2 linked regions of the Caenorhabditis elegans genome follow. The protein of the gene in region 1 interacts with the protein of each later gene in a pairwise test. Each region holds a gene or a part of one and is shown in the gene's direction. Other genes may lie near its edges. The genes, in order: cks-1 and C39D10.7.

Region 1 (4,966 bases):
TACAAAATCTACTTAATCCCGTTCGAATCCACTCCGAAATTGGAAGTGGTACTTCACGACAATACAAAATTTAAGCTGGCAACTGTCTTTTCTATCATATTCCCAATCGAAATCACAAATACCTCCCGGAACTTTCGAACAGAATCCAAAATGAGAACAAAAAATTGTAATAAAAAAATAACACTTTAAAGGTGCATGAGGTTATGCGCTCGTTGGGTCTCGCCGCGCTTTTCACCACTAATGCAATTTGAACGAGAAATGCGCGCGAGCGGCCATATTTTAGTTTTTCTGTTGTTTTTATTGTCATTTTTTTCCTTTTTCACTGCAAATTTGATAGTTAATCGACTTTTTTATGTTTTTACTGTGAAGTTTTTATTTTGTTATATATTGTTTCTTGCCTTTTTCCCAAAAACCTGAATGGAGCACACGAAAAAGTTCAAATCATTAAATCTTCACGGGTTTGATCGAAGTACAGAGGATTACGGAAAACGACCTTTTGTACTAACTGCCAAGCTACTTGAAGATCAGAAGAAAGCTATTTACGGATGTGCATTCAATCAATACGCAGGAATAGATGAGGAACAAGCGGTTGCAACTGTCGGAGGAAGCTTTGTAAGCGTTATTTAGCAGGAAACTGACAATGAGGTATAAATATTTGTTTTTCAGCTTCACATGTATTCTGTTCCCATCGACATAAATAACATTGAGCTGCAGTGGTCTTGTAATTTTCCTACCGATAAATCATCAAAGGTCGAACGAGAGGAGTCGCTCTTCACTGTTACCTGGTGTTACGACACATATGAAGCTGAAAACGACCGAAATCCCTTTAAAGTTGTAACGGGTGGAACTTTGGGTCACATTTACGTTATCGACTACGTCTCGAGGAAGCTGTCGAATGTAAATAATCAAAAATTACTGAAATAATTTGGAGTTTTAGCGTCTTCGGAGTGTTGGATGGGAAATCAATGACATTCGTACGTGTCCTGCCAACTCAAATCTGATTGTCTGTGCTTCATCAGATCAATCTATCCGGATTCATCATATTCGAAACGAAGCATGTCTGATTGTTATTGGGGGTCTCGAGTGTCATGCTGGAACAATTCTTTCTGTGGTTGGTTTATTAAATTTACTTACGTTTCGAATTTCTCATTTTAGGATTGGTCAACCGACGGAGACTTCATTTTATCGTGTGGATTCGATCATCAACTCATGGAGTGGGATTTATCTGTGAAACAAGTAAAGGAACATTTGGAACGAGCGTGCAAAGCTCTTCACCAAGATAAAATAAATGTGCTAACACAATCACAAGATATTCCGTATGTTTCGAAAGGAACAATGAGGTAAATCAATTATTCAGCTAACATTTTCTAGTTCCTTCTAGTATTTGATCAGTCCTTAACGCGAAAATTGTTGCTGTTGTTGTATATAAAAATATTTTTGAAACTTGAGTTTTGGATAAAAGACTGGTAAATAAAGAGACCAGGGCTATCAAATCATAATGTAATTCATTTTTGTATTTTTAGAAAGTCTGCAGTTTCTCGCAACATTCCCGACAAAGAAGAAGATCAATTGCTCGAACTTCACAGAGAGCTCATACCCCGACCGTACGTTGATTTTCGGCATCCATTACTTTTTTAAAGTTGTTTCAACGAATCTGGTTCTATCGTTTTCTTCTTTTTCAGGAGCTGCCTTCTTCCAATTTATACTCCATCCTCCGTATCAACTGATATGCATTCTGATTATGTGGATTGCATTCGATTTCTTATCGGTACTAACTACGCACTATCAAAAGGATGTGGCAATGAAAAGGCAATTCATTTTTGGAGATTTGGGCCACCTAAGGGAGAAGTTGAAAATCGCATTCATGGAAATGTTCTCCGTCCAAAGTCGTGTACAACGAAATTTCGTACAATGAATGTTCCGAGTGGTTCTGCATGGTTTATCAAATTCGCCGTTGATCCAAGAAGACGATGGCTGGTGTGCGGTGGAGCTGGTGGTTCTGTGATGTTTTTCGATTTGAGAAATAATGAAGAAACCAATCCGTAAGTAAAATATCAAGAAAAATAATTTCTGAGATGTTCGATATCTCTTAAAAATTATAGAAATATTTTTGCTGTGATTACCAGTATAAATTCCTGTTTTTTTTTTTACAGGACTCACACTTGTTCCGTTGGCTCACGTACAGTTCGGCAAGCTTCTTTCTCTACATGTGGCCGATTCCTAGTACTAGTAACTGACGAAGGATTTGTTTGTCGATTTGATCGTGTATCTGCGTCTGTCGACGCTAAGGACCTGGCAAAATTTTGAATATCATTCCTTCTCACCTTCAATTTTTTATATCTCGTTGTGATTTCATCTTCGATCATCTTCAGTGGATTTTACATTACAATTTTGCAGTTCCTAATGTCATCCCCAACCTCCTCTAAGGATTATTCTTCACCTAAACATAGCTTTATGTGTGAGTTTCGAAGAGATTATTTTCGTTTTCTGATTATCTAATTTTTCTAATTCAGTGACAGTCGACAGCAACTTACAAAGTGACAAAAAGAAGACGTTTTTGAATGTTCAGTGAGTTTTGAAAATTTTATTAGCTTTCATGTTATTACCTTTTTTATTTCAGATCATCTTCCTCTGCTGGGTCAACCAAGCACTGTCAAATTCCAATGTCAAAGGACGAGTATTTTGAAACACGCGGGAAACTCGACTCTGTTGATGTTATCGATCAATTCAGACAGCGTCAGCAATGAGCATTTATCGATTTGTCTGTACATGCAGTGTTCCTCACCATTCTCACTCTTGTCTCATTCCCATTCTTCTCTTTTTTTTCAATATTTTTTATTCTTTCCTTATTTTTGTCCGTTTCTATTTCCCGATGCTTGTTAATAAAATGAATTATTTCAGAGTCGCACCTTCTCACGCCAACCAACAAAATGACAACTGGAAACAATGATTTCTACTATTCAAACAAATACGAAGATGATGAGTTCGAGTACCGTCACGTTCATGTCACCAAGGATGTTTCCAAGCTTATCCCAAAAAATCGATTGATGTCCGAAACAGAGTGGAGAAGTCTTGGAATTCAACAGGTAAATATTTAAAATAGGTTTTTTCCTTAAGAAAAAAAGAAAAAGCGAACATAATTTCAACTGACATCAGAATAAGTTATCTCATCGTTTCATAGCTTCAAGTTTTTGTTTCAGTCCCCAGGATGGATGCACTACATGATTCACGGACCCGAGCGTCACGTGCTTCTTTTCCGCAGACCATTGGCAGCTACACAAAAAACCGGAGGAAATGTTCGTTCTGGAAATGCTGTTGGAGTTCGCTAATACTGTTCAAATCCACATTTCACATATATGGATCTCTAGCTCCCTTCCCATTCTTTTTTCCAAATTCTCGTTTTCCTTTTCGTTCTCCTTACACACGAAACTTGTTCAAGATATGTAAAATGTTATTATTTTTATCCTCTTCCATCATCAGCTCTCCATTCACTTTTTCTCGTTCTTAACGTGTTTTAATTCAATTCAAATCCAATTTGATAAGACGACAACGGGAGCCACCTCTAAATCAATCTGAAATATTTGTAAAATGGTCCCCCACTCGCCACTCTTTTTAATTTTCGCCAATATTCAATTTGGTCCTTTTTACAAATATATTTAACGACGTATTCGTGTTTTTATATATAAATAAACACTGACCTGCATGGAAATTTCGTTTTATTTTTAGCTGTTTCAGTATAAACTTGCGCATGTCTTCTTGAATTTGATACTAGTAAAGCCGCTGCGGGAAGCCTGACGCTGGATGACTGTTCGAACAGGTGAAGCTTCACAGGGGAATTGAACTTGTTCTCTGACTTCTGAATGATATATTTTTTCGTCAAGTTAGATGGTAAAAAATTTGCCTTGAAAATGTGTTTTTTCCTGTTTAGAATTTTAATTTACACAATTAGATGTTTCAAATGTTCTATGAAAATAGAACTCATAAACTAAAAAGAAGGCTCCGTCGGCTCATTAGAAATCTTGGACACCCTTCAAAAAAACCCAAAAACAATGCAATGATCCACTTTGCATGCTGCCAAAAGCTAATTTTGTTGAAAAGGAAATCCCATCGAGCATCGCAATTATTTTGAGTTCCAAATGCTATTTCATTTGGTATAGCTTGGAATTTTTTGTTCATGTTTTATGGAAATATTCATCGTGAAATGTTTCTTTAGAGGTTTATTTCTCACAATCAGTGGGTCTTGTCACGACCAGAATGTCTTCTCACTTTTTGATCTCCAAGATTACGGTAAGTGGAAAAAGGTGAACCTAGTCTGCTTTATTCATTTCGAACACACGATTGAAAACTCTTCAAAGTTATTGGCTACAACAATGGAACGTTTTAAAAAACATTTATTTTGGCAGAATGTTGTTAGCTTTTTTTTTCGAAAAAAACATTGGAAAAGGCAAACACTTTATTTTATTTGGTTTGTCTATGTTTTTGTGAATATTTAGTGAACCGAACGATAATTGTGAAGAATGTGTGTGGGGAGAGAAGTGACATACACAAGTGGGCCACGAGACAGAGTCATTTCCCGAATTTTAAATTGAAAATTCAAGCGGATCTTTTAGATTTAAAATTATTCAAACTGAATTTTTATACTTATAAAAAATCAATCTGGCAATTAAGAGGTCTGCCACTAGTTTCAATTTCTCCAAATGATCTCAATATGAAATATGAGATAAATGGAAATAATTGATTAAATTTGAAAAAATTTGTGGAACTTTTTTTTTAGCTGAATAGGTATTTCAATCAGTTTAATATTTGAAAATCAGCAAAAACAAGTTTAATCTGCTATACCTTTATTTAAACTTTGAAAAAGTTTGATACAAAATACACGTCTCCACTGAAAAATTCTCTGGAATCCCAACCATCCTTGAATTTGCTTAAATGGTCGAAATCTCAAAGTTTCAGCGATATACATAAA
Region 2 (9,680 bases), on another chromosome or scaffold:
TGTTACTTTTAGTTTTAAATTGTGGCTTTCAGTTAGATATAACGACTTGTTTAACAGTTGTTTGCATGTCCTGTATCCGATTAGAATTACATTTTCAATGCCAGTGAACTTTCAAACATGTTTAGTTTATACTGTTCGTAAAACAACTTTAATCTTTTTGAAACTCGGCGAATTTTTTGTTTCGATAAAAAGCTGGGTTTACACAAAGTATAAATTGTTCTCTGTTCCGGCTTGGCTGTTGTGATGCCGGCGTTTTTCATGGTTCTATCTGTTCCTTAGAATATCAGAGAACGGCAGAAATAGTTTGAACAGTTTATTTAATCAAACATTTCTGAAATGAACTGACTCTTACGTTGAATAAATTTTTGAACGGGGGACTTTTTGAATGAATGCTAACTATTTGGTTAATGAGAAAAATTAAGTTGTTTTATTCAAAAAAACTCATTAAAAATTTCATCGACTGTTAATAATGCAAACTAAATGTTGTGAAACACTTGCATACCTATAACCTAGATGAGTCATACGCTTTTCTCTTTCTTCTCTGCCCGACCGACTAAAACGGATATGCGAAAAAGTACACTTATGCAACCTCATGACGTCATTGAAATCCATTTGTCAATGAGAAACAAAGATATTCGAGGTAAAGTGAAGTCTTGCGCGAACAGGAATTTCGAAAATTTACGCATTTTTCGGCTTGTAGTCGCAAAATTGGCACGCAATTTATAAGGAAATGACCTTTCATAAAATTTCAAGAATAAGAGTGAATTTTGAACAGAAAAGGGATCAACTGATTTGAAATCTGATGTGATTTTATATAATCTTGTTAAATTTGACATTTTTAGATTTTATAAATCTAATACTTTGGTAATTGTGGCCTACTCTGCTTTTAAAGTTGCTTTTCTGAAAAAGAAAATCGGGGGTTTAAATTCAAATATAATTATCGGAGCAATTTCTCAATTGGTGCAAAATGATGCAAGTATATTTATTCTTGTGCGGCCTGGGTTACTTACGTGGCCCGTGACGTAGCAAACATGACGTCAGCAGCAGCTGGAAAGTAATACCACATGGTGTGACCTGTCTTCTACCAATTGGAAGGGGTCAAACGTACAGGAATGATAATTACGCTGGATGTTTGGTAGAATATGCTTATATTATATCATTTAAGATATTCTAAGATGGTTGATAATCCAATAATATTGAGTTGTCATTTCGGCACGACAATGAACGTTTTAAAGTAAAAATAACTGTAGATGTATAATTCTATATTACAAACTTAACAATTAAAGTTGAATAAATTTATAAAATGAATTGAAAAATTCGAAGAGAAACTGGATGGAAGTTGTTTTTTTTAAGAAACATTTTTTAAGACATATTTTTGACACTAGTTGAGGTTATATATTGAATTTTTAGCTGAAATAAATACCCTATTGAATTTAGTAAAGCAGTTTCAAATACGTTTTCATACATTAACAAATTGAATGTATTTTCAAACTTTTTTATTTTTCGAAAAAAAGTCTCATTTTCTTTTATTGTAGTCTAGAAAACAGACAGTTTTTTTTAATTTTTAATTGTAACAAGACTATGAATAATTTCCAAATATATAACGTTTCTTTAATTTCTAATTCTGTTTCAACTTCCATCTCACCTGGAATGGAATTAATGATTTCATGTATACTCATACTTCTTATAAGTGATATCATTTTTGACAGCAATGCGGAAAATGTTAGAATATCACAGATTGTGCAATAGTTGTTCTCGCTTGAAAATTTTCCCATCAGGAAATGAACATTTTTCTTCCAGGACAAATGCTGCCGGAAGATTCAAATGATAAGAGATATCAACTGTGGGCGGGATCGAGAAGAGCAATGGTGAGGCTCGAAGAGGTCACTACGTCAGAACTGTTTCGAGAAGGGTATGCGAATTGAATAATGCAGATTGATTATTTTAAAATTGTATGTTTCAAATTGATTAGTGTGACTAATTAAATAACCTGGAATAAACACTCGTGATAATTAACTGGTTGCGATATTTAACAATGTAAATAAAAATAGTTAAAATAAAATTTTAAGTGAAACATGTTAAACTATGAAGGAAAATTACGGTTGAAACATTATTTGTGTTACTACTATTTCACATTTACTCTTTTTGGCTACAAACGATTTTATGTTAAATTCAGTTTTTAATCGTTATATTAGAGATTCAAAAAAAACTTACCCAGAACATGTTCAGCAATTAATTATAATTATATTCGCTACTTTATTGAATATTTCGTTTGTAAATCTCATGTTGTTTCGTCGATAAGGTACTTTTTAAGAAGATATAATTATTCTACAACCAGGTTAATTTTGACAATGCCAGAAAAATACTATAGTTTCCGGAAATATCTTTCTAATCCGTTTTTTTTCTACAAAAACACATGCGCATCGAACATCATCCGTTTCCAAGGCTGTCCGAACTTTTGCACGATTTGCAAGTCGTGTTTTCTTGTGGTAAACAGTCAATAATCTCGTAATTACTATTGACTGGATACGTCAATTCGTTCATTCCGGGTCACCCGGTAAACTTAGAGATTGTCATAAGGAAAAACGAAAATAAAATAAGATCTCAGTTTTCGAGGTACTTATTCTTTCTAGATTGAACACTATACTTGCAAAGAAAAGAATGTGAATGTTTCGTTGATTCATTTTTCTTTTTTAGTGCTTGATATTCTTTTATTTATTAATAAATATCTGATGGATTGGGCTTTTGATCAATATCTGAATTCCAATCTACAGGTTTTCTAGCTTTTTATCAATAAGAGCAGAACAAAATCCGCCCACCATCCAAGACAGAACAGATTGACAATATAAAAGCATTGTGTTTCAGATAAACAATCATTCACATTTCTTTCAAATTTTCTTCTCGCAATTTTCTTTTTATTTTTTAGATGCGACAGCTTTCAATATTTGCGGCGGCTGTCATCCTCATCTCGGCGGACGCCAAAAATGTTCTGAACCCGAAAGGACCACCATGCCCGGATGGTGACGGGCTTTATGCTGTTGGTTGCAGCTCAAAGTATCTTCAGTGTGTCAACGTGAGTTTTCTTTTGGAGCTTTACAAGGGAAGTCGATAAACTTAATGTCTGACTTTGGCATGACATAGTATTTTTTCGATAAAAGAGTGATAATAATGATCCCTCCAAAAAATTTAGCTGCCCCGGTCCAGGTTTAGCAAAGTTATGATGTTTTGAAAGTGCCGAAAAAATTTCTTGACCTACCAAAAAAAAAACTTTTAAAATTTCAAAAAAAAAAATTGTTTTCTGAAAATCGATAAAAACTGTTTTAACTTATCCAAAACAGTGAAAAGCATATATCATACACGTTTTTTCTCACCACGGACAAAAAACCACATACCTTGAGCAAAATTCCAAAAAGTACTTTTTCTGGTAGATTAGTTTGTGGGTTTTCTTGAGAGTTGTGAGCTAAAACAACTTGCAAACATTTTTTCCTCTTTTTAGAAAAAAATGTTTTTTTTTTGAAAATTTTGAAATTTTGTAAAAAGGTGTTTTAGTCACTTTCAAAACGTCATAACTTTGCTGAACCTGGATCGGGGCAGCTAAATTTTTTGGAGGGATCATTATTTTCATTATTTTATCGAAAAAATACTATTTCATGCCAAAGTCAGACATTAAATTTTTCAACTTACATCTTTAAAAAATATACTATAACGATTTGCAATATTTGTACCTTTCACGTCACATATTTTGCAATAGAACAGTCATAAAAATTTGCAATTCAAATTTTCGAATTTTAAAGATAATACCAAATTTTTTTAGCTCGAAAATTTTCATGATACTTTGAAAATGAAAAAAAAGCGACAAAAAGCGAGCCATTGTGAGAAAAAAAAGAATAACTGTGAAATAGGCGAGTCGACCCATTACGACCCATACGCATCTCTAGCTGATACCATTTTTTAATGAAACAAATATTTATTTTCTTTTCTTATTTCTTTTGAGACCACTTCAAAGTAATGGAAAACTATTGTAAGGGAATGTTTAAACCATAAATCTGAATTTAATTAAAATTTTTTATATAATTTTCAGAATGTTGAATATGAGCAGTCATGCCCAGAGGGTCTTTATTTTGACCGCTTATTAGCACGTTGTGAGCGTCGTTCTAGCAACCATCTCTGTGCCACAGGTGATCGTGTAACACTCAATGTCCGCCAAAAGGCCGTGTGAGTTTTATTGGAAAATTATTTTTTCTGAAATATTTTAATTGAAAAATTTCAGTTCGATAAATTGTGTGGGCAGACTTAGTGGGGATTATGCACTGGACAAGACTGTGTGTAATGAAAACTATTATCAGTGTGCAAATGGAATATCTTACATGAGAAAGTTAGTTTCAAGTGCAGAAAACTTATTAAAGAAAACACATAATCAATTTGAAGGTGTCCATACCAGCAAGTATACGTTCCAATTCTCAAGCGATGCGATTACCACACCAACTGTAATGCTTCTGGAGGAGTTAAAGATCAAGCAGCTGCTGCCTATGCTTCACCAACATATGATTCGGATAACTACATCGTCACTACCAAAGAATTTGAAAATGGGCACAATGGTTCGGCCTTACTAGTATTATTATCATTAAAAATGTTTATTTAAGGATTGGACTGTAAAGTTACTGGAGACATGCATTTCACTGATAACGTGAAGTGTTCCCCATATTTCTGGCAGTGTTCGAATGGAAAGCTGTTCAGAAAAACTTGTCCAGAAAAGCTAATCTACGTTTTGGACCAAAACCTGTGTGACTTTCCAGAGTCTGTGAAAGATTGTCCAGAATATAACGGGTGAGTTGATCAAATTTGTTGTGTAAATGAAGAAAACTTAACAAAACTTACTTTTGGGTAATTTATTTCAGCTCCGAAACTTCGTATAGAGCACCAAAAACCACTACTTCTTCTTCTTCTTATGGGTCAATTGCTGAAGCTCCAGTGGATCCAACCCCATATGCTCCAGCTTCCGCGCCAGTCTATTCCCCACCAAGAACAACCTACGTCCCACGCTCGACATCAGCAGCTCCACCAAATCCACCACCACAAAATCCAACTGCTGCCCCATATGTTCCAACTGAAGCTACACCTTCACCTGTCTTCTCTTCAACAGTCAGATACAATCCAGCAGTACACGGAGATTGCAAAAATAGAGACGGAATCTTTGGAATCAAAGAGTGCCACGCATCATTTTTGAGTTGTGACAACGGAGTTGGTCGGGTTATTCAATGCGCGGATAATCTTGTATTCGACACAAGAGTGTCAGCTTGCGAATTCGCAGCAATTTGTCTGTAAGTTGAATATTCATTTCAAATTGAAATTTGTTACTGTATAGGTTTGGAGTTTTTGTCAGTTTCCCTGTCATAAGGTTTACTCAAGAAAAAATCTGAATCGGAAGTTGATTTACTTTCGTAATAATCTTCTCATAAATATGATATAAATAAGTCAAATCTAAAAACAAAATTTAGAGAGCCACGAAAACCAGAAGATGTACCTGTTCTTTACAATCACGGAGGAGCCTATAACGAGAGACCAGCTGAAGTGAAAGTAGACTTTGACTGTACCGGAAAACCAAACGGAAAGTACATCAAGGAAGCATGCACCAAAAGCTTCTTCACTTGTCACGATGGAAGAGCTTTTGCGAATGACTGTCCTGGCGATCTAGTCTTTAACAAAGCTACTGGCACCTGTGATTTTGCTGAAAACTGTGAAAAGTACCAATCTCAAATTGTTTGAAAAGTTATAAAATCAAAATTTCAGAAACTACATGGAACCATCTCAAATTTACAAAGGTGAAGACACTCCAACTACTACAATTGGATACTCGTCGTCCGTAGTGTACACAACCACTGAACAACCAGCAACAAAGCCGTACACACAGCCACCAAGAGACACTGAACGGCCATCAACGATTTACGGACGTCCAATTTACACCAAGGCTCCGACCACTGTTGGATATGAACAACCAAAAGCTACATACACTACTCAGGCTCCAGTCACAACTACAATTGCTTTGGACGAGTGAGTTTTTTAATTTCAAGGAAAAAACTCCCTCTTTGGACTAGATCACTATAAAAATTTTAGCAGCTTTTTTTTACTCAATTTTTACTCAATTTTACTCAATTGGGAGTTCCTGAAATAGACATCTAACTTTTTCCAGTTTTTTCAAGGAATTAGATTCATAAAATATCTTCAATGACAGTGTCTGTCACAAAAATGCTATTGGAGGTATTTGAAATTTAACAAACATCTTGGAAACTGAATGAAAGTTTTTAGAAATTTTCTCAATCAGACAGTTTCCGACAAAAATTGCGTTCCTTTAGTTGGAAAACTTCTAATGTGTAAAGACACAGCTGTGTTATTTTTAATGTTCTAGTTTATTTTTTTCAAATAATTTGAGACTATCTGAGATTATGCAAATAGCTGAAATCTGATTTAAAAAAGCGGCAAAAAATTTGAGATATTGTTCAATTACGAATTTTATCCAATTTAAAAGTAAGAAGTATATTGTATAATTTCAAGGAAAATTTTTTTAAAGGTTTTTCAATTAATGTTTTAGGTTAAGCAGCGGAAACCATTTTAATCTATTTCAAACAAAAATTCCCCCTAAGAGCTTACAACATTTTTGTCAAAAGTGTTCCAGTTATAATTATACTTTCCAGCTTTTCCTGCAAACACCTCGCTGATGGAAACCATGCCTCTGGTCTCTGCAAGAGCGTATTCTACATTTGCGCAAACGGACAAGTCGTTGCAACTACATGTCCAGCAAATCTGATCTTCAATCCATATGTCGGAGAATGTGATTACAGTACGAATGTCCGAGATTGTCAAGGGTACCAACCAACCACCACTCCATCATACTCCTACCCTAAAACTACCAGCAAACCATATGAACAACCAAGTACCACCCAAGGATATGCTCCAATTGAATATACTCCGGTTACTCCAGGGTACGCACCACAATACACATCAACAATCTTCACAACAACTCTATCCCCAAAATACGCTGCAATGTGTGCAAAACGTGATGATGGAAACTATGGATTTGACTGCGAAAAATACTTGATCAAATGCTACAATCGTAAAACATTCAAGTTCCCTTGCCCGTCAGGATTGTACTACAGTCGTCTACAAGATAAATGTGACGTGAAGGAAAATGTGGAGGGATGTCCAGAGTACAAACCAACTACAGACGCAACACCAGCTGCCGAGCAACCAGTCATTTCATATCAAAACTATGGATACTCTCAAAGCACCACCAAAGCGTACAATCCATCCGTGACCACTCCATCGCCACAGCATGCTGCTTTCTGTGAAAGACTCGAAAATGGAAACTACGGTCTTGATTGTGAGGACTATTACATCTCGTGCAACAACTTTGAGACTACAATTAATCGTTGCCCCGCAGGATTGTTTTACAGCAAATTGAACAATCGATGTGACTACAAGGAGCATGTCGAAGATTGCCCAGAATACAAGCCAACTCCTTCTACAACACCAGCAGCAGAGCAACCAGGCACGACAAAATATACAACTTACAACTACCCAAACATTGATTACACCTCCACAACTCCAGGACCAGTAGACACCACACCGTTGGCAAAGGCGTTCTCCTGCTCCGGACGTCCTGATGGAATCTATGCTCTTCCGTACTGCTCACAAGACTACGTTCAATGCATGCAAGGTTAGACTGTGCAAAATCACAAGTTATCTGAAAGTAAGCAATTATTAATTGCAGGTCGTTCACTTATTTCCTCATGTGCCCCCGGACTTTTTTACAACGAAAAGAATGGAATGTGTGCTTACAAACACACCGTGGATACATGCAAAATGTAAGCATATCGGAGTACTGAATTTGATGTGGTGGATTAATGTAATCGTACCTAATGAACTTAGTTTTTTAAAGAACTTTCAACTTTCATTTTAATAATTTTAGCGGCAAAGGATCTGACATAATCGATTCGAATGCTTGTTTTGGAAAATCAGATGGTTATTACTCTGCTGGGTGCTCCTCATATTACTTTTCCTGCATTGATGAACAGATTCGTAAGGTATGTTCCGATTAATGTTGTTCAGTATTTCGCAAAATTTTTTAGATGAGCTGCCCGAACAGTCTCAAATTCTCCAAGGAATCCGAAAAGTGTGTATTCCCAATTGACGCAAAGGAATGCTCAATTGCAACCACTCTAGACAGAACACCTCCAGCGTAAGATTTTGTCATGTTACTGCTCTGATGAAACATTTACTTTCAGAGTGCCAAGTGATTTCTGCACGATCAGATCTAACGGACTCCACCACCTCAAAATGTGCTCCCCACATTACATTGTCTGTGACAACGGAAGAGCCTTTGTGAGTTTATTAAAATATATACATTCAAAAATAATATATGCTTTTCAGTCTGGAACTTGTATTGCTCCATTGGTGTACAATGGGGACACGCAAACTTGTAATTATAAGAGCACCAATAAGGACTGTGGCAATGATTACATACCTCCAGTTGCTGAAGTCACATCTAGTTACACAACTTACACCACCAAAAGATTTGAGCAGCCAGCTCCAACCACGACTGCAGCCCCGTATCAACCTCAAACAACGACTACTGGAAAGGTTCTCTACAAAGCTGCATATACCACCACCGCTACACAGTATGAAGAACCAGCAACAACTCCCTCTCGCGATGTAGAGACTCCAACCACCACTACTCACAAACCGTACGAGACAACCACTGAAGCACAAGATGCAACCACAACTACTACAGCTTCATATGTGGCCCCAACTACAAGTTCTGCGTATAAGTCATATTAATATATACACTTATTTTTGCCTTACGTCTTTTTTGAGTTTTCAATGAATTATTATATTTAGAAAAAAAGAGTTTTGAAGCATTAAACATTTAAATTGGGACAGCAAACTGCCATGTATAAATATAAAACACGGTACATGTGTATCTTAAAAAATATTTTTTTTGTCTAAAAACGATAGCATAATTTTCAAATTCTCAGGTTAAAAAAATCATTTTGATATTACGCCAATAAAGACACTGAACTATATTGTTATAATATTTCTATAATTTCTATACCTTTTCTGCAGAGATAAACATATTTTCTAGGTTTTTAAAACTTTAATTTTTTTGATGAGACAAGTCTAATCTAAAAATATATGTTCTCTATTCTTTTAGAATTAAATTCCACTTTCATGAGCTCAGAAATAAAATGAGTTACAGAATTTTCTTCATTTTACATTTTTTGGTTTTAAAAAGCTTTAAAAAATAATTGAAACGTCAAAAAAGTAGCCGATAAAAAACCATTAGAAAAGATTTGAGACGCCATGAATCAGCATAAAAAAGTGAACAATATTTTTTAAGGTTCTGAAAATTTCCACATTTTTGAGAGATCATCTAAGATTTCCAAGTTTGGAGTTTCGTTAATCGCTATTAAACGACAAATGCTAAACAGTATTGAAACATTTTTCTCAAATGTATATTTAAGATTTTACAGTTACCCGAACGTCTAATTGAATATATCAACACGGAAGCGGGAAAGTATTTTGTGGAACACAAACAAATTGATTGGCAAAAGAAATTTCAATCTTTTTTTTTGAGTATTTTTCACTCCATATTTTTCTGAATATTCTTATTAATAGATCATTCT

Evidence for each region.
Region 2: the proteins of cks-1 (region 1) and C39D10.7 interact in a two-hybrid assay, tested with the Caenorhabditis elegans proteins (2 studies listed by BioGRID).

What each region holds. Positions count from the first base shown.
Region 1 is NC_003282.8:8,511,020-8,515,985, forward strand, and holds cks-1 (Cyclin-dependent kinases regulatory subunit), read left to right. Parts: upstream 1-2,899; 5' UTR 2,900-2,930; coding exon 2,931-3,086; intron 3,087-3,200; coding exon 3,201-3,329; 3' UTR 3,330-3,706; downstream 3,707-4,966. Other genes in the region: Polycomb protein mes-6, read left to right, coding at 418-612, 667-897, 938-1,111, 1,156-1,340, 1,524-1,604, 1,683-2,042, 2,154-2,307; C09G4.4 (uncharacterized protein), read left to right, coding at 2,404-2,458, 2,514-2,568, 2,621-2,747. UniProt on the Caenorhabditis elegans protein: Binds to the catalytic subunit of the cyclin dependent kinases and is essential for their biological function. Has a role in the exit from M phase during early mitotic cell division.
Region 2 is NC_003284.9:7,907,177-7,916,856, reverse strand, and holds C39D10.7 (Chitin-binding type-2 domain-containing protein), read left to right. Parts: upstream 1-2,926; coding exon 2,927-3,073; intron 3,074-4,081; coding exon 4,082-4,215; intron 4,216-4,270; coding exon 4,271-4,375; intron 4,376-4,428; coding exon 4,429-4,598; intron 4,599-4,643; coding exon 4,644-4,827; intron 4,828-4,898; coding exon 4,899-5,321; intron 5,322-5,498; coding exon 5,499-5,744; intron 5,745-5,790; coding exon 5,791-6,051; intron 6,052-6,692; coding exon 6,693-7,714; intron 7,715-7,768; coding exon 7,769-7,862; intron 7,863-7,966; coding exon 7,967-8,081; intron 8,082-8,126; coding exon 8,127-8,236; intron 8,237-8,282; coding exon 8,283-8,379; intron 8,380-8,427; coding exon 8,428-8,835; 3' UTR 8,836-8,891; downstream 8,892-9,680.